4 linked regions of the Mus musculus genome follow. The protein of the gene in region 1 purifies or fractionates together with the protein of each later gene. This does not show direct contact. Links are inferred from orthologs where the notes say so. Each region holds a gene or a part of one and is shown in the gene's direction. Other genes may lie near its edges.

Region 1 (3,560 bases):
TCCCTCCCGGGTGCTGGGATTAAAGAAGCTACTGAACATAGCCTGTATTTACACAAAGTGCATCCCATTTGGGGAGTGAGGCTAGCTATAGCCGGCATAGTAGTGTACACCTTTAGTCCCTGCACTCTACAGGATGTATGTTTTTGAGTTTTGTTTTTGAAGCCAGCCTTGTCTACATCTCTACATCATGAGACACCCTGTCTTAAAACATCCACCAAAAAGGCAGCTCTGGGGCAGGAGAGATTGCCCAGCTGTTAAGAGAGCCTGACACTCTTGTAGAGTGGAATTGGTTGCCAGCATTCACATAGCTTGTTTACAGTTGCCTGTAACTTCAGGTCCTGGGGATCTGGCACCCCGTTCTGGCCCACCCGCCTTGGGCTCCTGCATACACATGGGACATACTCACACAGGCTCATATAGATACATATAAGTTTTAAAAACAATAAGACATCTTTGGGGGAAAGAGAGAGAGAGAGAAAGGAAAGCAGGCAGCTCCAGCCCTCAGGAAACTCATTCCAGAAGATTCTGATTGCAGGCTGGTCAGCCGGAGGCTTTAGAAGTAGCCTCAAGGCCCAGGTGTCTAGATCTGCCTGGGTTTCTCAAAGGCTGATGTCCAGAGAATACTGATTCCTCAGCTGCTGTTATGGATACCCAAGTGGTACTGTTAGCTGAGTGGCCTTGGTGTATAGGCTGGAATTAAATAAATTTGGGGGAAAAAAAGGAGCTGGCCCTGATAGAGCCATCTGAACTTTTAGGCAGAAGGCAGTGCGCTGGGGCCGGGATGAGCACTGGAGCACACAGCTCTTAAACACAAACTGTCACTGAGGCAAAATTCAGGAAAATTGGGAGTCCTTATGGGACGGCTGTTGCGTTATCCATGTCACCGCGTTGACCGCAGTGAGGTGGTCTGTCTAGACAGGGCGAATGCTGTTTGGATGGAGGTCTAGACGCTCCTCAGTCCCCCTCCTTCCTCTCACAGATGCACTCCCATCCTCGGAAGATGATGACGACGACGATGACTCCTCCTCGGAGGAGAAAGAGACGGACAACACCAAACCAAACCGTAGGCGTGAGACACTGTTTTCTATCTTACTGCCTTCGAGACTGGGAGCTGGGACTTAGAGGAAGGCCTGGCTAAAGTGGGAGGAGAGAGGCTCAGAGGGCCTGGGGGCCATGGTGCCTGGTTGCTGCCTCTCTAGAAGACCTAGGGTACTTACTGAACAGGTAGACGGGAGGCATGGGGTCCTGCCTGGGCCCTGGCTTCTGAGCCTGGCCGCCCCTGCTGCCCTCATTCGTCTCCTTTGGCTTTTCCTGTACAGCTGTAGCTCCCTACTGGACATCCCCAGAGAAAATGGAGAAGAAACTGCATGCGGTGCCCGCTGCCAAGACGGTGAAGTTCAAGTGCCCGTCGAGTGGGACACCCAACCCCACTCTGCGCTGGTTGAAAAATGGCAAAGAGTTTAAGCCTGACCACCGAATTGGAGGCTACAAGGTACGCGTGTGTACATACCAAAGAAAAGTTAGAGTAAGGCGCTAGAGCGGGGACTGGGATAGCAAGTCTCTATTATCTGCTATGATTACTTTGGGTTTTGTTGTTGTTTTGGTTGCCTTTGTAAAGGTGAGATTTTGTTGTTGTTGTTTTAGTTTAAAGTTTATTTTATAATGGTTTCACGTGTATGTATGTGTGTGTGTATGTATGTGTGTGTGTGTGTATATATGTATGTATGTGCCACATGTGTGCCTAATGCCTACAGAGGTCTGAAGAGGGTGTCAGATTCCTGGGAATTGCAGTGTTTTGATTTTTACTACTTTAGAATTTTTTTATTTGCGGGAGGATATGCATATGTGGAGATCAGAGGAAAACTGGGAGGACTCAGTTCTCCTTCACCTAGGTGGGTCCTGAATATCGCTCTCAGGTCAGCAGGCTTGGTCACAAGTCCCTTTCTTTACCAGTTGAGTCACCTTACAGGCCACCATTCACCCTCCCCTCCCTCCCTCTTCTCTTCCTTTCTCTCTCTCCCTCCCTCCCTTTGGTTTTTGAGACAGGGTCTCACTCTCTCCTTAGCTCTGCCTGGCCTAGAACTCACTATGCAGACCAGGCTGCCCTCAGGCTCACAGAGATCCACCTGCCTCTGCAATCCGGGCCCTAGGATAAAAGAGGGGCGTGTGCCACCACGACTGGTCCTCTTGTGCACTTTTAAAGGACCTTTCTCAGGACCGATTCCTGGAAGTGGAATTGTCAGATCCGACGGGGTAGATCTGTTTTAAGCTCTTAGTGCCCATAATCCATTTCCCTCTCTCCCATGCCTTTCCCCAGTGCTTCCGCTTCCCTGTTGGGTGTTAGAAGCCTGCACTGTTGAGTTTCATCTTCAGCCCCCAAGTCCTAAAAGGAAAAACCAGTCACCTTCCGTAACAGAATATTCGAATGACAGACTCACTAGACATTTGCCAAGAAGTACAGCTGGGTGAACACGTTTGTGTTGCTTTTTGATACCATTAGGCACTTCCTATGCTGATAAGCTGCTTCCTCTCCCTCCGGGGGGTCAAGTCCTTTGTATTTGTAGGAAGAACATTTTGATGAGAATCTCTTCCTTAGAGATCTGATGAGTCTCCAAGGTCCCCAAATATGTCTCTTTTCTCATACCTTTTTAACTTTTTTTTTACTGTGTTCCTTCTCTATGTGCCCCAGACTGGCCTGAACTTCCATTGCTGCTCCTGTCTTAGCCTTCCATGTGCTGAGATCACAGAGATGTGCCACCATGCATGGCTGTTCATTGCTCCTGTATAAGAAAAGTGAGAGGGGATGGCTGGAGAGGCAGCTTAGTGATTAAGCAGATAGCACTCTACTCTGGTCCAGAGGACCAGAGTCTGGTTTCCAGCACTCACCTCGGGCAACTCACCACCACCTATAACTCCAGCTTCAGGGTTTCTGTGGACACCTACACTCACATGTGCGCGCACACACACCCACACACACCCACACACACACACACACACACACACACACAATCTTTTTCTTTCTCTATTCATTATTAATTATTTGTTCTCCCCGCTCCCACCCCCAATCAGGGTTTCTCTGTGTAGCTCTGGCTGGCCTAGAACTAGCTCTATAGATCCGGCTGGCCTGGAATTCAGAGATCTGCCTGTCTCTGCCTCTTGAGTACTGGGATTAAAAGTGTTCACCACCACCAGTTCTTTTTCTCCTTCCTTCCTTCCTTCCTTCCTTCCTTCCTTCCTTCCTTCCTTCCTTCCTTCCTTCCTTCCTTCCTTCCTTCCTTCCTTCCTTCCTTTTTTAAAGAAAGAATATGGGGAAAGCTTTACCTGGCCTTACTTACCAAGTCCTTTTGTTTGCAAGTTAGGATTTTGTAACCACATCTGAAGGCGACTGTCAAAGGGCAGCTGTGGTAAGCAGCCTGCAGGGGGAGCTCCTCCATGCAAGAGCACGGGAAGGAGGAGGACGGGTCTGACCAGAGTCAACTAGAAGCAACGGGGGTTTCTGTGTGATATTTATGTGCATTCATTTTGTGTGCACATGCGCAAGCAATGGCGTGCACATGGAG
Region 2 (4,293 bases), on another chromosome or scaffold:
TATACACAGAAAAAGCTGGCTGAAAAATAAAATGATTATTTTTAATCATTTTAACAGTTATTAATTGTGTGTATGTGGCAGGCCTGTGACAGGTAGAGGACAACTTGCCTAAGGCACCATGTGGGTTCCAAGGATCTAACTTGTCCCATGCTTGGCAGCAAGCACTTTATCACTGTGCCATCTTCCCAGTCCTAGCTGTAGTTTGCAGTATATTTTATACTGCAGCAGCCACTGGCTTGTGTGGGAGCTAGTGCCTAGACCAAACCAGGATTGCTTCTCTTGAAACCCTCTGGCACTCATTACGTGCTTGATGAATAAATGGATGGACAGGTGGCTGTGTACATTTCTCTCACTTTCTCAGTTTCTTTCAGTAAATCCCAAAATATCATTTTCCTTCAGAAATTCTGGCATGATTCATTCCGGGTCCTGCCCTGGCCATGCCTTCTGTGTTTCTCATTCAGCAAGAAGTCCACTCAGATTTAGTTCACATTAAAAATAAACAGAGCTTTTGATATCCAAATTGCAACTTGCAGGGTATTAGAGAAGATAGGGAATTGCAATTTTACATACGATTTTCCCCGATTTTCAGCCTTGAGATTTCTCCCTTGAAGACTATGGCAAATGTGCATCCCTCTTTGAAATGTATCAAGATGTAAAGGGGAATTTGAATGTATTAAAGTTTGCAGCAAAGAGAATATAAAATGTAAACAAGAAAGAACAGTTAAATGTGTGAGTGGATATGGGGATGGGTAGAATGAGAGACGGGAACCATGTATGTGCGTCGGGATGGATAGGAAATATGATGAACAGATATGAGCTGAGGAGGGGTGTGAAAAGGATTGAAAAGTTGTGCAGGTGGGCGAATACAAGAATTGGTGGGCAGGTGTAGTATGGCTAGATTAGTGCATTTGCAGAAGGAAGATGGGTGGACAGAGGAATGGATGGGTGGATTGTGAGTCCGAGAAGGATTTAAGAAATTGGTAGATATTTTGAGAGCATGAATGAAATGTGTTGAGCACCCTTGGGTTTTCCCCGGATCAAAGATCAGATGAGCGGTTTGGACTTCTCTCAGAGGGAAAGAGGAAAGAACACTCCCACAAGTTCCCCACTTTTCAGTCCCCACCCTGGCCAGGAAAGCACTCTCCACTAGGATGGATCTCTCCCTCTCCCTCTCTCTCTCTCTCTCTCTCTCTCTCTCTCTCTCTCCCTTCAGCCTCTTTCTTTCTTCAGTTCCTCCCTAAGATAAGTCCAGCTTCCTCAGCTTCCTGGGAAAACCAGTCTTTCCCTAGCCAGGTTCCCAAGTTTAGTGGCAAAGGAGAAACTGGAAGATTTAACTGAGAGGGGCGAGGTCTTAGAACTCAGTCATTCTCCTTGTCCCAGGCAGCGCTTCTCATAGGCTGGTAGGCTGGGCCAGGGTAGGAAGCCTGTGGAGTGGCCCTGGAGAACGTGGGCGCACGGGGGCTGGGGGGGGGAGGGGGGCGGCCATTCTCTTCTGTCCAAGAGAGCAGGGCAGGAGTGCAGGGGCAGTAGCGAAAGCAGGCTGGTGTGTCTTTAAACTTCCGTTGGCTGCTTAGTCACAGCCCCCTCGCTTTGGGTGTGTCCTTCGCGCGCTCCCTCCCTCTTAGGTCACTCACTCTTTCAAAGCCTGGAATAAAAACCACAGCCAACTTCCGAAGCGGTCTCATTGCCCAGCAGCCCCCAGCCAGTGACAGGTTCCATTCACCCTCGTTGCCCTTCTCCCCACGACCCTTTTCCAGAGGCGACTAGATCCCTCCGTTTCATCCAGCACGCCATGGACAAGTTTTGGTGGCACACAGCTTGGGGACTTTGCCTCTTGCAGTTGAGCCTGGCACATCCACATCAGCAGATCGGTGAGTGGCCCGCCACCGCGCCTGAGGACTCCAGCTGGATGCCTCTGGGTTGAATCGCCCTGGGGAGGGACTGTAGTGAATTGGGCTAGCAAAGCAAAGCTGGGATTTGGGGCTATGCTATTGGAAAGAGTTTACGCCTGGGAAGTGCTGCTTTGGTGAAAGGAAAAGAGAAAGGGAGAAGAAAGTTTGCTGGGCAAGTTGCCCGCAGATTTTGGGCGAGGTCCCCATGCTTGCTGGAGCACATGGCTCAAAAGTAACTGTACTCTTGGATGCCCGCAGCCTCTGTCCCGACTAACAGGCTCTGGTGCTCAAGGGCTCCCCAAGCCTGGCTAACTGTGGCTAGGCAGGTAGAGGCAGACACTGGAACAGACCTGTAGAGCACTCCCCAAGGTGTGCACATAGCTACAGGCCAGAGATTGGGCAATGAGCTTTTCAGAAAGGAGCCTTGAAAAGCTGAAGACAGTGGGTCCCAGCTTTGACTAGTTTTCGGGGCTCTTAAAGTCAGCTTTGGTCACCAACGGCTTTATTTTAGCTTGTGGGAGTTTGAACTGGTTTGTGTGAGGCTCTGAGTGGCCTAAAGGTTCCAACATGGACCAAGGAGGACACATAACCGGAGCAATAATTCGACCAGCCGCGCAGTGCTTGCAGTCTAGGCAAAGTCAAACAGCAACAGGGTTCATATTTGCTGCCTGGCAGCCTCAGAGCAGGAGGGGACCTGTATCAGGGTAACCTGTGAACTTTAGCGCAGTCCCTAATATCCCATCTAAATGTGGTTGGTGACTTTGGTGGCTGTGGAGAGGAGGAGCTTGGGCCAAATATCCAGTATGGCTCATTTTCAAGCGTCCCCCCTCCTTTATCTATATATGAACAGATAATTCCACGAAGGCTTTGGTTATCATCAGCATAGTTAAATTTTCTTTGAAGAAGTGCCAGCTAGGTCATTAAGTCAGCTCAGACTTCAGTGAGTTCCTCTCAACAAGAATTACTAAATCCAGTTCTGGGGGTAAGGGGTGCCAAACTGGGTTTTTTTTTCTTTTTAGACATGGTACGTTGGGATTAGAAAATCGCACCTCCATTGTTGAATGTTAAATTTTGAATGCTGATGCAGAAGTAATGCAAATAATAATTGCAGTAGGACACTATTGGCCATTTGTGTGTGTGTTCTTTGCTGTGCTATGTTAGGTAATTCACATAAGCTATCTCATTTTATCCTCATGGTGATTTGGTGACAAATGCTCCCCCCAACACCTTACCAGTAGGGAAACAGAGGCTCAGAGAGGTTAGGTGACTTCCCCTAGTCACACAGCAAGGAGTGGGGCTGGGTGTGAACTTGGGTTCATTAAGTTCCCTAGCTTAGACTGCCATGGGATATCTAAAAGCAAGTGCTAGACAAAGTTGAAAAGACCTTCAGGGACAGTAACAGTCTAGCCAGCAGAGGCTGCAGTGGAGGCTCCCATAGGGAGCCAGAGCTCCTAGGATCCATTGGAAGGCAGAAACATTCAGGATGGATGAGGGAAGGACAGAGAGAGCCTGGACCTGACCTCAGAGGACAGGAGGAAGGTTGGCACACTGCTCCCACCTTTGTTGGGGCTGAGGAGCCGAACTCCCACATTTTCCTGGCCTGTCTCCCGGCTATTCTAAAAGGTCTACTCCCAGATACCTGTTGCCCTTCCAACCCCCCCTGGAGTCAGGTTCTGAGGCCAGCAGGCTCTCTTCTGCCTTGGGGTTTCTACCTTCTTGTTGTACAGTGTGGCTCCAGGACAAGTAGAGCTGGTGCCAGTAGCAGCAGCTCCATGGACCCTGGCTTTCACGCCCTTGTAAAGCCGATGAAGGAACTGAGACTCTGAAATGAGATGTGACTTAGCACAGGATGTGTGTGAAAGAGAAAGGGGAGGGAGAAGAGAGGCATCATGGTTGCCCCATTCTGGGAGTGACTGGTTTGGGAAGATGATGAGGAAGCACTGAGACCAGCAAAGTTGCTGGTGGTGGGGCTGAGGGTGGGGAGGGTGGGGAATGGAGGTGGAGGGGCGTTGGGGAGGGGTGGCGTAAGAGGAGGAAGCATCCATCACTGTGCTGGCAGTCAAACGGTAGAGAAGTGGTGGAGGCCTAAAGCAACTTCTCCCCCAAGGGAAGAAAGTGGCCCTAGACCAAAGGCAGAGGGGACAAGTGTCCACTTGCATCTCTCCTCTCCCTTTCCAAAGATCGTGGTTAGGAAACTGTACCTCTATTGTTGAGGAAGATGGGGTTCATCTGGGAGTCTTGGGACTTGGGGACAGCAGGCACCGTTCTGCTTCCTCTGAGCATTGGCAGTTAGAGTGTAGGCTAGGCCTTCCCAGGTGAAGAAGTAAGGAAGCAAGCCCTGTCCTTGCTGAAGTATCTCCATTCACTCAGTTACTCCCGGGTACACACAGAACATCTATTT
Region 3 (4,055 bases), on another chromosome or scaffold:
TAGTGAATTCCAAGACAGCCAGAGCTGTCTTATATACAGTGAGACTCTGGTGGGGGTGGGGGTGGGGTGGGAATTAAGGGCAAACATGATTAAAAAAAACAAATTGTATATTAATGTTTTGTCTGCAAGTATATCTGTCCACCACATGCATGCCTGGTGTAGTCAAAGGCCAAATGGGGACATAATATATATATCCTGGGTTGGACTTACAGATGGGTGTGAGTGGCCATGTAGGTGTTGGGAACAGAATCCGGGTGCTCTGGAAGACCAGCCAGTCTCCAAACTATTGAGCCAACTTTCCAGCCTCAATTTTGACTTTTTTTTTTCCATTTTTTATTAGGTATTTAGCTCATTTACATTTCCAATGCTATACCAAAAGTCCCCCATACCCACCCACCCCCACTCCCCTACCCACCCACTCCCCCTTTTTGGCCCTGGCGTTCCCCTGTACTGGGGCATATAAAGTTTGCGTGTCCAATGGGCCTCTCTTTCCAGTGATGGCCGACTAGGCCATCTTTTGATACATATGCAGCTAGAATCAAGAGCTCCGGGGTACTGGTTAGTTCATAATGTTGTTCCACCTATAGGGTTGCAGATCCCTTTAGCTCCTTGGGTACTTTCTCTAGCTCCTCTATTGGGAGCCCTGTGATCCATCCATTAGCTGGCTGTGAGCATCCACTTCTGTGTTTGCTAGGCCCCGGCATAGTCTCACAAGAGACAGCTACATCTGGGTCCTTTCGATAAAATCTTGCTAGTGTATGCAATGTTGACTTTTTTTTTTTAGAGTGTTGTTTGTATAACAACCCTGACCGTCCCTAAAATTACTCTGTAGGCTAGGCTGGCCTCGATCCGCCGGCCTCTGCCTCCGGAGTACTGGCATAGCGCCACTACCGCCCAGCCAATTTTGACTTTTTGACAGTGTCAATATGTAGCCCTGGCTGGACTAGAACTCCTGGAGAGCCACCTGCTTTTGCCTCTAGCGTACTTGGATTACCGTGGGCCACCACGCCCAACGCGACTAACCTTTTGTTTCTAAAGGATGGTCAGTCTGGTTTCGGCGGGAACTTCCAGAAGGCCTCACCACATACTCCTGGCCCTTTAAAGAAGACCTCCGGTTGCCAATGCCGCCGACTCCCGTTGCTAAGGACGTAACGTCCCGCGCCGACGCTGGGGCGGGGCCGTCCTGCGCGGCGCCCTGGGCGGAAGCGGAAGGGGCGGGGCTCGCCGAGCGGACTCTCTAGCCCTTGTGGGTCCCTGTTCAGCGCCCGGCCGTGTGGAGCCCCGGGAGCCAGTCCGGGCCTCCGAAGCGAAGATGGTGGACTACAGCGTTTGGGATCACATCGAGGTGTCGGACGATGAGGACGAGACGCACCCCAACATAGACACTGCCAGCCTCTTCCGCTGGCGGCACCAGGTGGGGCTGTGCGCGCTCATCCCCTTCCCCCCCACTCCCGGGACCCCCCGCTCTAGAGTTCTGACCTCTTCCCCAGGCCACCTGGCGTGGGGGCGGGGGAGACCTTAGTTATTGACATCTGGAGCCGCCTGCTCCACAATCTAGACTTTTCTCTTTCTTTTCTTTTCTTTTTCTTTTTTTTTTTTTTTGAAACAAAATTTCACTGTGTAACCTTCCCTGGCCTAGAACTTGCTGTGTAGAACAGGCTGGTTTCTAACTCACAGTGATCCTCCTGCCTCTGCCTTCCCAGTACTGGGATTAGAGACATGTGCCTTCATGCAGGGCCGGACTTTTTAATTCCATCCCAGGACTCCTGGCTTCTTCACCGTAATTCTTGACCTGTATCTCCAGGCGTTCTCTCTGTGCTATGGTTCTCTTCTGTTTGTAAGTTTATTTATTGTGTGTGTTCCCGTGTGCACGTGGCACAGCATGCCTATGGTGATCACAGGATAACTTGTAGAAGTTGGGCCTCTCTTTTCACCATGTTGGAACTGGCTGTGGAACTCCAGTCGCCCCACGTTGCCACAAGCACCTTTACACTCTGAGCCATTTTATCAGTTGGTAATACTTTAGTCAGAGTCTTGCCTCTCCCCATCCCCAAGCTGACCCTTGTGTGTAGGGTCCCCACTATCCTGTGCAGAACCTTCTGTTCTTCCTCAGAGTCTGGACCCCAGGTTCTGTTAGGTGATCTCATAGCCCAGCCACGCACCCACTTCATATTGCACGTCTCCCTTCTGCCTCTCCTCACTACTTAGAGTCTGGAGCCACAAAACTTCTGACTATGGCATCTATTTCCCAGGATCTTAGGCATGAATTTCTATTAAAGGCCCAGAGACGACCCCCTCCCCCCCCAACTTCCAAACTAAATGAGCCCTTAATTTAACTGTCAATCTTAGCTTGCAGCTGGGATTCCCCAGTCCAGGATCCCTTTCCCTGGGTTATAGACTTGAGTCCCACATGGGACATACCTGTAGAGCCCCCTTATCCTCTGTATTTGACCTCCATCTCCACTCTTGCCCATCATTCAGTTCCAGTGGCTCTCCTTATTCTCACCTCCTGTAGACTCTTATTTCCTGTTACTCCAGGAAACCCCACCCACCTAACTTCCTGTTAGAACCTCTGCTCCTTCTAGTATAGTAAGTAGACCCTCTCCTTCCCACCTTGGCTCCTATATGAACTGTAGCCATCTTTGAAAATTCACCAAACCAGGAGCCAGATGATGATGACACACATTTTTAATCCTAGCTCTCAGGGGGCAGAGGCAGGCAGGCCTGTGAGTTCAAGGCCAACCTGGTCTACAGAGAGTTCTACAGCTAGCTAGGGCTACACAGAGAAACCCTGTCTGGAGGGATGGGGCCGGGAGTCGGGTAGGATAAAGAGAGGGGGGAGGGGAGGAAGAGAAAGAAAAGACAGCTCACCAACCCAGAAAACCAAGCCTGTCCTGTCCTACCTGCCCGTTCCCTCCAGCTTCATCTGTCTCTCTCCAGGGTTCAGAGCATCCTAGTTAACTCTGGACCTCCCAGATAATGTTCCCACATAACCTTACTTTCTGAGCATGGTAGCACACCTGTAAACTCAGGTCTTAGGAGGAGGACGAGGAAGGAGGATCTGGGATTCAGAGTCAGTCCTCGATATAGGGCAAATTCTAGGCTAGCCTGGACTACATGAGACAATATCAAAAACCAAATGGGCTGGAGTTCAGTTGTATGGCATTGCCTTGGGCTCCATCTCTAGCACTGCTTAAAAACTAGCCATGGTGGGGCAGGCCTGTAGTCTGAGCACTGGGGAGAGGGAAGCAGGAGGGTCAGAAGTTCAAAGTCGTCAGCCACGGTAAGTGTGAGGCTGGCACAGGCTACAGGGGATCCTGTCAACCACCAAGCAAATAAAATACAGTCCTCTGCAGTTTTACATCTCTCCAAAACAGACGCCCCAGATTGAGACCTTAGAACCCCAAGTGTGAGCAAGCCATGCTCTTGCCCCTCCCTTGTGCCATCATTACCTGCAGGCCTGTAGCATACTACCAAGATGTGAGGGTGGCCTGGATGTGTGGTTCAGTGGTAGAGTACTTCTCTAGCGTGCAAGAGGTACTGGGTTCCAACTCTGTCGCAGCAGTAAAGAGACAATGGCCTAACCTGCTCCCCAAATTAAAACTTCTATACCCATATACCTGTGTGTCTTATACTCTTTGTTTAAGTTACATCTTAATTTTTTTGTGTGTGTTAATTCTTATGTATGTGTGCCGAGGTATCCTTGTGGCAGTCAAAGGATAACTTGATAGAGTCCACTTTCTCCTTACATGTGGGTTCTTGGGATCAAACTCAAGTCATCAGGCTTGGTAGCAGGCCTTTTCCCACTGAGTCCTCTCATTGGCCCCTGTGCTTGTTATACTCTCAAGCTGAGGGCAGGTACTTTCCATTTAGGAATTTTGCATCTCACCTTCTTGGGGAAAACTTCTCATTACTCCTAGAAAGTCCTTCCCCATCCTCCCCAAATCCAGCATTCGGCTCCCAGTCCCACCCACACACCTATTCCTTCCAGTTTCCTGGGAAGACCACCTGCCAGGCAGCAGTGTGTGGCAGCAGAGAAGCCCAGTGCCTCGCAT
Region 4 (4,118 bases), on another chromosome or scaffold:
GTGTTTCTTTCCGATGCAGGGCGGTTAGCCAGGGGCTGCAGTAGCTTTCCACTCAGCCCAGCGACTTTTACACATCCCAGACATACTCAGCGCATCTAAGCAGCGGGCTCGAGAACCCAGGACTGAGCCTTCCCGGAATCCACTCAGAGCGCCCAGCCATTAATTCTCGAACTCTTAGAATTCTGTGGCTCCGTTGCCGACTGAGGATTGGGTTCCCTTAACCTAGGGCTTCCTCTTCTCGGGCAGGAGGAGGAGTCACAACCTCCCCTCCCTTTCTCCTCCGCCTACGACCAGCTTGATTTAAAAAAAAAAATCTAATCTTTTATTTAAAGTCAACGGAGAAGCAGGAACCCCGCGCTCCTGCCTAGAAGATATTTTTACTAACTCCTTAATCTCTGCCAAGAAGGGCAACCTTAAGGAACCTGTTTTCTTTTAAGCTTTAGGTAGCAAGGGAGGAGTGTGACAGTCTGGGCCGAAACTCGAGGGCTCTATGCACTTGGGAAGGGTTATTAGGGCGGAGGTAGGGTGGGACGAAAAATTTCCAAAGTACTAAACATTGAACACGAGAGTCAACTCGAAAAGCTTTGAATCAAATTGGGAGCCGAACGTACGTATGTGTGGCTAGCTCCCGGGAAAGAAGCCTCTTGAGTCCCCGTCCAAGCAGGAGAAAAGGGGTCAGGTGAATGAATACCCAGCTTGTGACCCTGAAGGAGGAGAGTCTTGGGCCAGGAGGGGATGTGCCCATAGCCTAGGCGCGCCCACGCGCACCCCTGGAGGAGAAAGGCCGAAAAGACACCTCCTGCCTCCGCCTGGGGCTGCTACCACCGGACTGCGCCCCCAGCGCCTTGCCCAGCTTCACCAGCTGAGCGCGAACCCCTCTGCTCTCCTATTCTCAACTAGTCTCCGAGCTGTTAGGACTCGTGGCAGTCAAAGGCACCTCGTCCGCCCCGCAGAGCCCATTTCTCTCCCCACCCCATCTCCCGCCAACGCCCCCAAATTTTTTGGGCTCGCCCTTCCTGAAAGTAGGCGAGGCCCAGAAGCTGAGGCTAGAGAGAGGAGGTGGAGGAGGAGGAGGAGGAGGAGGAGGAGGAGGAGGAGGAGGAGGAGGAGGAAGGGGTAGGAGGTGGAAAAGGGGCGGCGCCGAGCGGCCAGCCAGGGGGCGTGTCCGGCACTGGCCCCGCCCCTGGGTGCGCGCGGTGGTGGCGGAGGCCGCCCAGCCTCGCTCTAGAGAGACAGGTATCGCTTAGACGCCATGTTGTGAGCGGAAGTGGGGGAGCGCGCGGCCGTCGCTGTTCTGCTGGGATCGGGCGCGGGAAGCGGCGGGGAGGGGAGGCGGGGGGCGGAGCCGTAGTCCGGGCGGCGGAAGGAGGAGAGGAAGAAAGGGGCGAGCCCTGGTGCCTGGCGGCGGCGCAAGGCTCTCGCTTGGAGTGCGGGCGGCTGTGGCTAGGCGCTGGGCGTTCGGGTGGTCGGCGTCGGCGTCGGCGTCGAGCTCGCTCTCGGGGGAGCCGCGGCTGCCCGGCTGCTGCTTCTCGGCTCTGCCTTGGAGCTCGAGTGGCTAAGGAGCCGAGCCGGCTGTGGGGCGGGTGGGGAGGGAGGAGGCGGTGAAGGCGGCGGCGGGCCGGGGAGGGGGGGAAAGATGCCGCTGGCGCAGCTGGCGGACCCGTGGCAGAAGATGGCTGTGGAGAGCCCTTCCGACAGCGCGGAGGTGAGTGCAGCCGTGCGGCAGGGCAGGCGCGCCCCTTCCCCACGCCCCCGCCGGCGCTAGCTCTCTTCCCCGGAGCTGCCCCCCTTAGACCACCTCCGCCGCCGGCTCACATCTTGTTCCCGGGGCGAGATTCTGCTTTGGGTCGTTGGGCTTTGCCGATCTGTCTGTGTCTCCTTCCCGCACCCTCGCCTCTCCCTGCTTTTGGGGTTGGGGGGTGCCGGTGTGGCGGCGCGTGGGGTTTGGAGTGGGCGCTGAGGCTTTGCAAAGAGCCTGTTTTAATCAACTTTGCGTGGGGGAAGCAGGAGGCAAAGCAGGAGCCGGCGGCGGGGAGTTGGGAAGTTTGGCCCTGCCGGCTCTAGGGTCTTCTCCGGAATCTTAGAGACTTTGGATTCGGTTCACCAGGAGCCAAGACTTCAGTCTGGCCGCCGGAGGGGTTTGCTACAGGGAGACGGGCGCCCACAGGGCAAGGTGGGCGAGCCAAGCCGGGAGGGTTTTGAGTAAGGGGTCCAGGACTGAGGGATCCCCCCACACCCCGGTCAGTCTGCCGCAGCGCTCTCTGCCGCTGCTGCAAAAGAAAAACGGAGCGCCTTAGGTCCCCTACTCCTAGGTTTTGAGGTCACTGAGTTGGAAGACCCCAGTATAACTTTTGCTTCCTGTCCATGGAGGTGAGCGGGTGAAATTCAAGGAGATCAGCGGACGCTGTAAAAGGGCTATCTGATTTTCCTCTCCCGGGATCTGATGATCGGCCCTGAGATACCCACCCCAGTGTCAGAAACCCAAACAGTATACCCAAACAAGGCAAAACAGAATTTCCGCGGACACATCCCAGCACCGAGCTTTTCACAGCCGCCACTGTCCCAGAATCAACTGGCGATCTAAAAAAATAATGCAGACAAGATCCATTCCAGGGTATCAGCGCTCCTCTCCAGAGTGGAAAATCAGTTCCTGATGGTGGCGCGTCTGTGATTCCTCTTTCTTGACTTTTCGCTGAATTCTATCCTCGCAGCGGACTTTAGGGGATTACAGAATGATAGGCTGGGTGTGTGTAATAGTTACTGAGCGAGTGACCCCATTTCTGGAAAGCATGACTGAAACGCGGGGGTGGAATGGGGCAGGCTCTGATGAGTGGTGTACTTGGCGGCAGCCACTGCCCCCATCGGCCTCCGCAGTGTGAGAGGTGGGTAGGGTTACTGGTTACGTCAGTAAAACTCGGGCTCAGTTTGGTGTGAGATGCGGGACGCTGACATTCTCTGGGAGGGGGGAGAGGGGGAGGGAGGAATCCGTTCAGATCGTTTTTTCTAATTTTTCTCCCCTGTCACCTCCACTACCATATAAAAATATTTACTTGTTCTTAAATGCAGGAAGAGTTGTAATAAAGCTTACAAGTTCATGCTTAATAATTTACTACTGGATAATGCTGTTCTAAAATAGCAAAGACATAGGTATATGTTACTTTTTTTTTTAAAGGAAAGGCTGGTGTAAAAAAGGAAATCGTGTTTTTACGACTGGCAGAATACAAGAATTTTATTTGAATTTAGAGCCAATATGATACTATAAATCTTTAATAATAAAGTTAAACTTAGAATGCTTAACCGTCATTTGAATGGGTAGTGTGGAAAAACAGTATGGCAAGGGAGCCTCTTCATTTTTTCTTAAAGAAAAAAATTTGCATTTAAAATACAGCTATAAAGGTGGTTAAAATTGCTGAACCTGTCGAAGAAATTGTATTTTCTTATAATCTGCTTTTTATTTTAGGTTTTTTTTTTCTTTAGTTTTTTGAAACAGCCCAGGAACTCACTATGTAGACCAGACTGGCCTTGGTCTCACAGAGATCCACCTGCCTCTGCCTCCCAAGAACTGGGATTAAAGGCGTGTGTCTTCATGCTTGGCTATGAGTCTGCTTTTTAAATATACACAATAATTATGATTCAAAAATAATCCACTGATACATTAAAATGTTTTTAACAACAAATTGCCTTTGAATAGTTTGTTCCTTTGATTGTTTGTTAATCCACATTTTTCCTTGACATGTGTCAGTATGCAGGGAGAAATCATTTAAAATTCTACTTTATCCTTTTTTCTGTATAGTATGCATTTAGACAAAGTACTCGCCTACTTATTTAGCATCTACTATATCCAAAAGTACTATGTTAAACATGCTGTTTCGTTTTTATCCTCCCTGTAACCTAGCAGGGAGGATTGTGATCCCCCACTGTTACAGAGTAGGAAACTAAATTCAGTGGTTAAGAGCACAAAGATTATAAATAGTAAATGGCAGAGCCATAATTTGAAGCCAGGTAGATACAAATTGTATGCTTTGCTTTATGTTAGAATAGGTTCTTCTGACCATTCGTGGAAAGAGTCAAAGCATAGACATGCTAATAGTTAGAGATCGTGTATTTTTATATGCAAA

Evidence for each region.
Region 2: the proteins of Fgfr1 (region 1) and Cd44 purify together in Homo sapiens (affinity purification with mass spectrometry; 3 studies listed by BioGRID and IntAct, counting the BioPlex papers as one, with this or other methods). This does not show direct contact. The link is inferred for Mus musculus from reciprocal best matches to the Homo sapiens genes FGFR1 and CD44.
Region 3: the proteins of Fgfr1 (region 1) and Cdc37 purify together in Homo sapiens (affinity purification with mass spectrometry; 3 studies listed by BioGRID and IntAct, with this or other methods). This does not show direct contact. The link is inferred for Mus musculus from reciprocal best matches to the Homo sapiens genes FGFR1 and CDC37.
Region 4: the proteins of Fgfr1 (region 1) and Rps6ka3 purify together in Homo sapiens (affinity purification with mass spectrometry; 4 studies listed by BioGRID and IntAct, with this or other methods). This does not show direct contact. The link is inferred for Mus musculus from reciprocal best matches to the Homo sapiens genes FGFR1 and RPS6KA3.

Annotation. Positions count from the first base shown.
Region 1 is NC_000074.6:25,556,752-25,560,311, forward strand, and holds part of Fgfr1 (fibroblast growth factor receptor 1 isoform 1 precursor), read left to right. Parts: intron 1-979; coding exon 980-1,069; intron 1,070-1,319; coding exon 1,320-1,492; intron 1,493-3,560. UniProt on the Homo sapiens protein: Tyrosine-protein kinase that acts as a cell-surface receptor for fibroblast growth factors and plays an essential role in the regulation of embryonic development, cell proliferation, differentiation and migration.
Region 2 is NC_000068.7:102,898,846-102,903,138, reverse strand, and holds the start of Cd44 (CD44 antigen isoform c precursor), read left to right. Parts: upstream 1-1,473; 5' UTR 1,474-1,792; coding exon 1,793-1,871; intron 1,872-4,293. UniProt on the Homo sapiens protein: Cell-surface receptor that plays a role in cell-cell interactions, cell adhesion and migration, helping them to sense and respond to changes in the tissue microenvironment.
Region 3 is NC_000075.6:21,147,115-21,151,169, reverse strand, and holds the start of Cdc37 (hsp90 co-chaperone Cdc37), read left to right. Parts: upstream 1-1,235; 5' UTR 1,236-1,312; coding exon 1,313-1,414; intron 1,415-4,055. UniProt on the Homo sapiens protein: Co-chaperone that binds to numerous kinases and promotes their interaction with the Hsp90 complex, resulting in stabilization and promotion of their activity. Inhibits HSP90AA1 ATPase activity.
Region 4 is NC_000086.7:159,254,484-159,258,601, forward strand, and holds the start of Rps6ka3 (ribosomal protein S6 kinase alpha-3), read left to right. Parts: upstream 1-1,298; 5' UTR 1,299-1,636; coding exon 1,637-1,705; intron 1,706-1,722; exon of another isoform or gene 1,723-4,118. UniProt on the Homo sapiens protein: Serine/threonine-protein kinase that acts downstream of ERK (MAPK1/ERK2 and MAPK3/ERK1) signaling and mediates mitogenic and stress-induced activation of the transcription factors CREB1, ETV1/ER81 and NR4A1/NUR77, regulates translation through RPS6 and EIF4B phosphorylation, and mediates cellular proliferation, survival, and differentiation by modulating mTOR signaling and repressing pro-apoptotic function of BAD and DAPK1.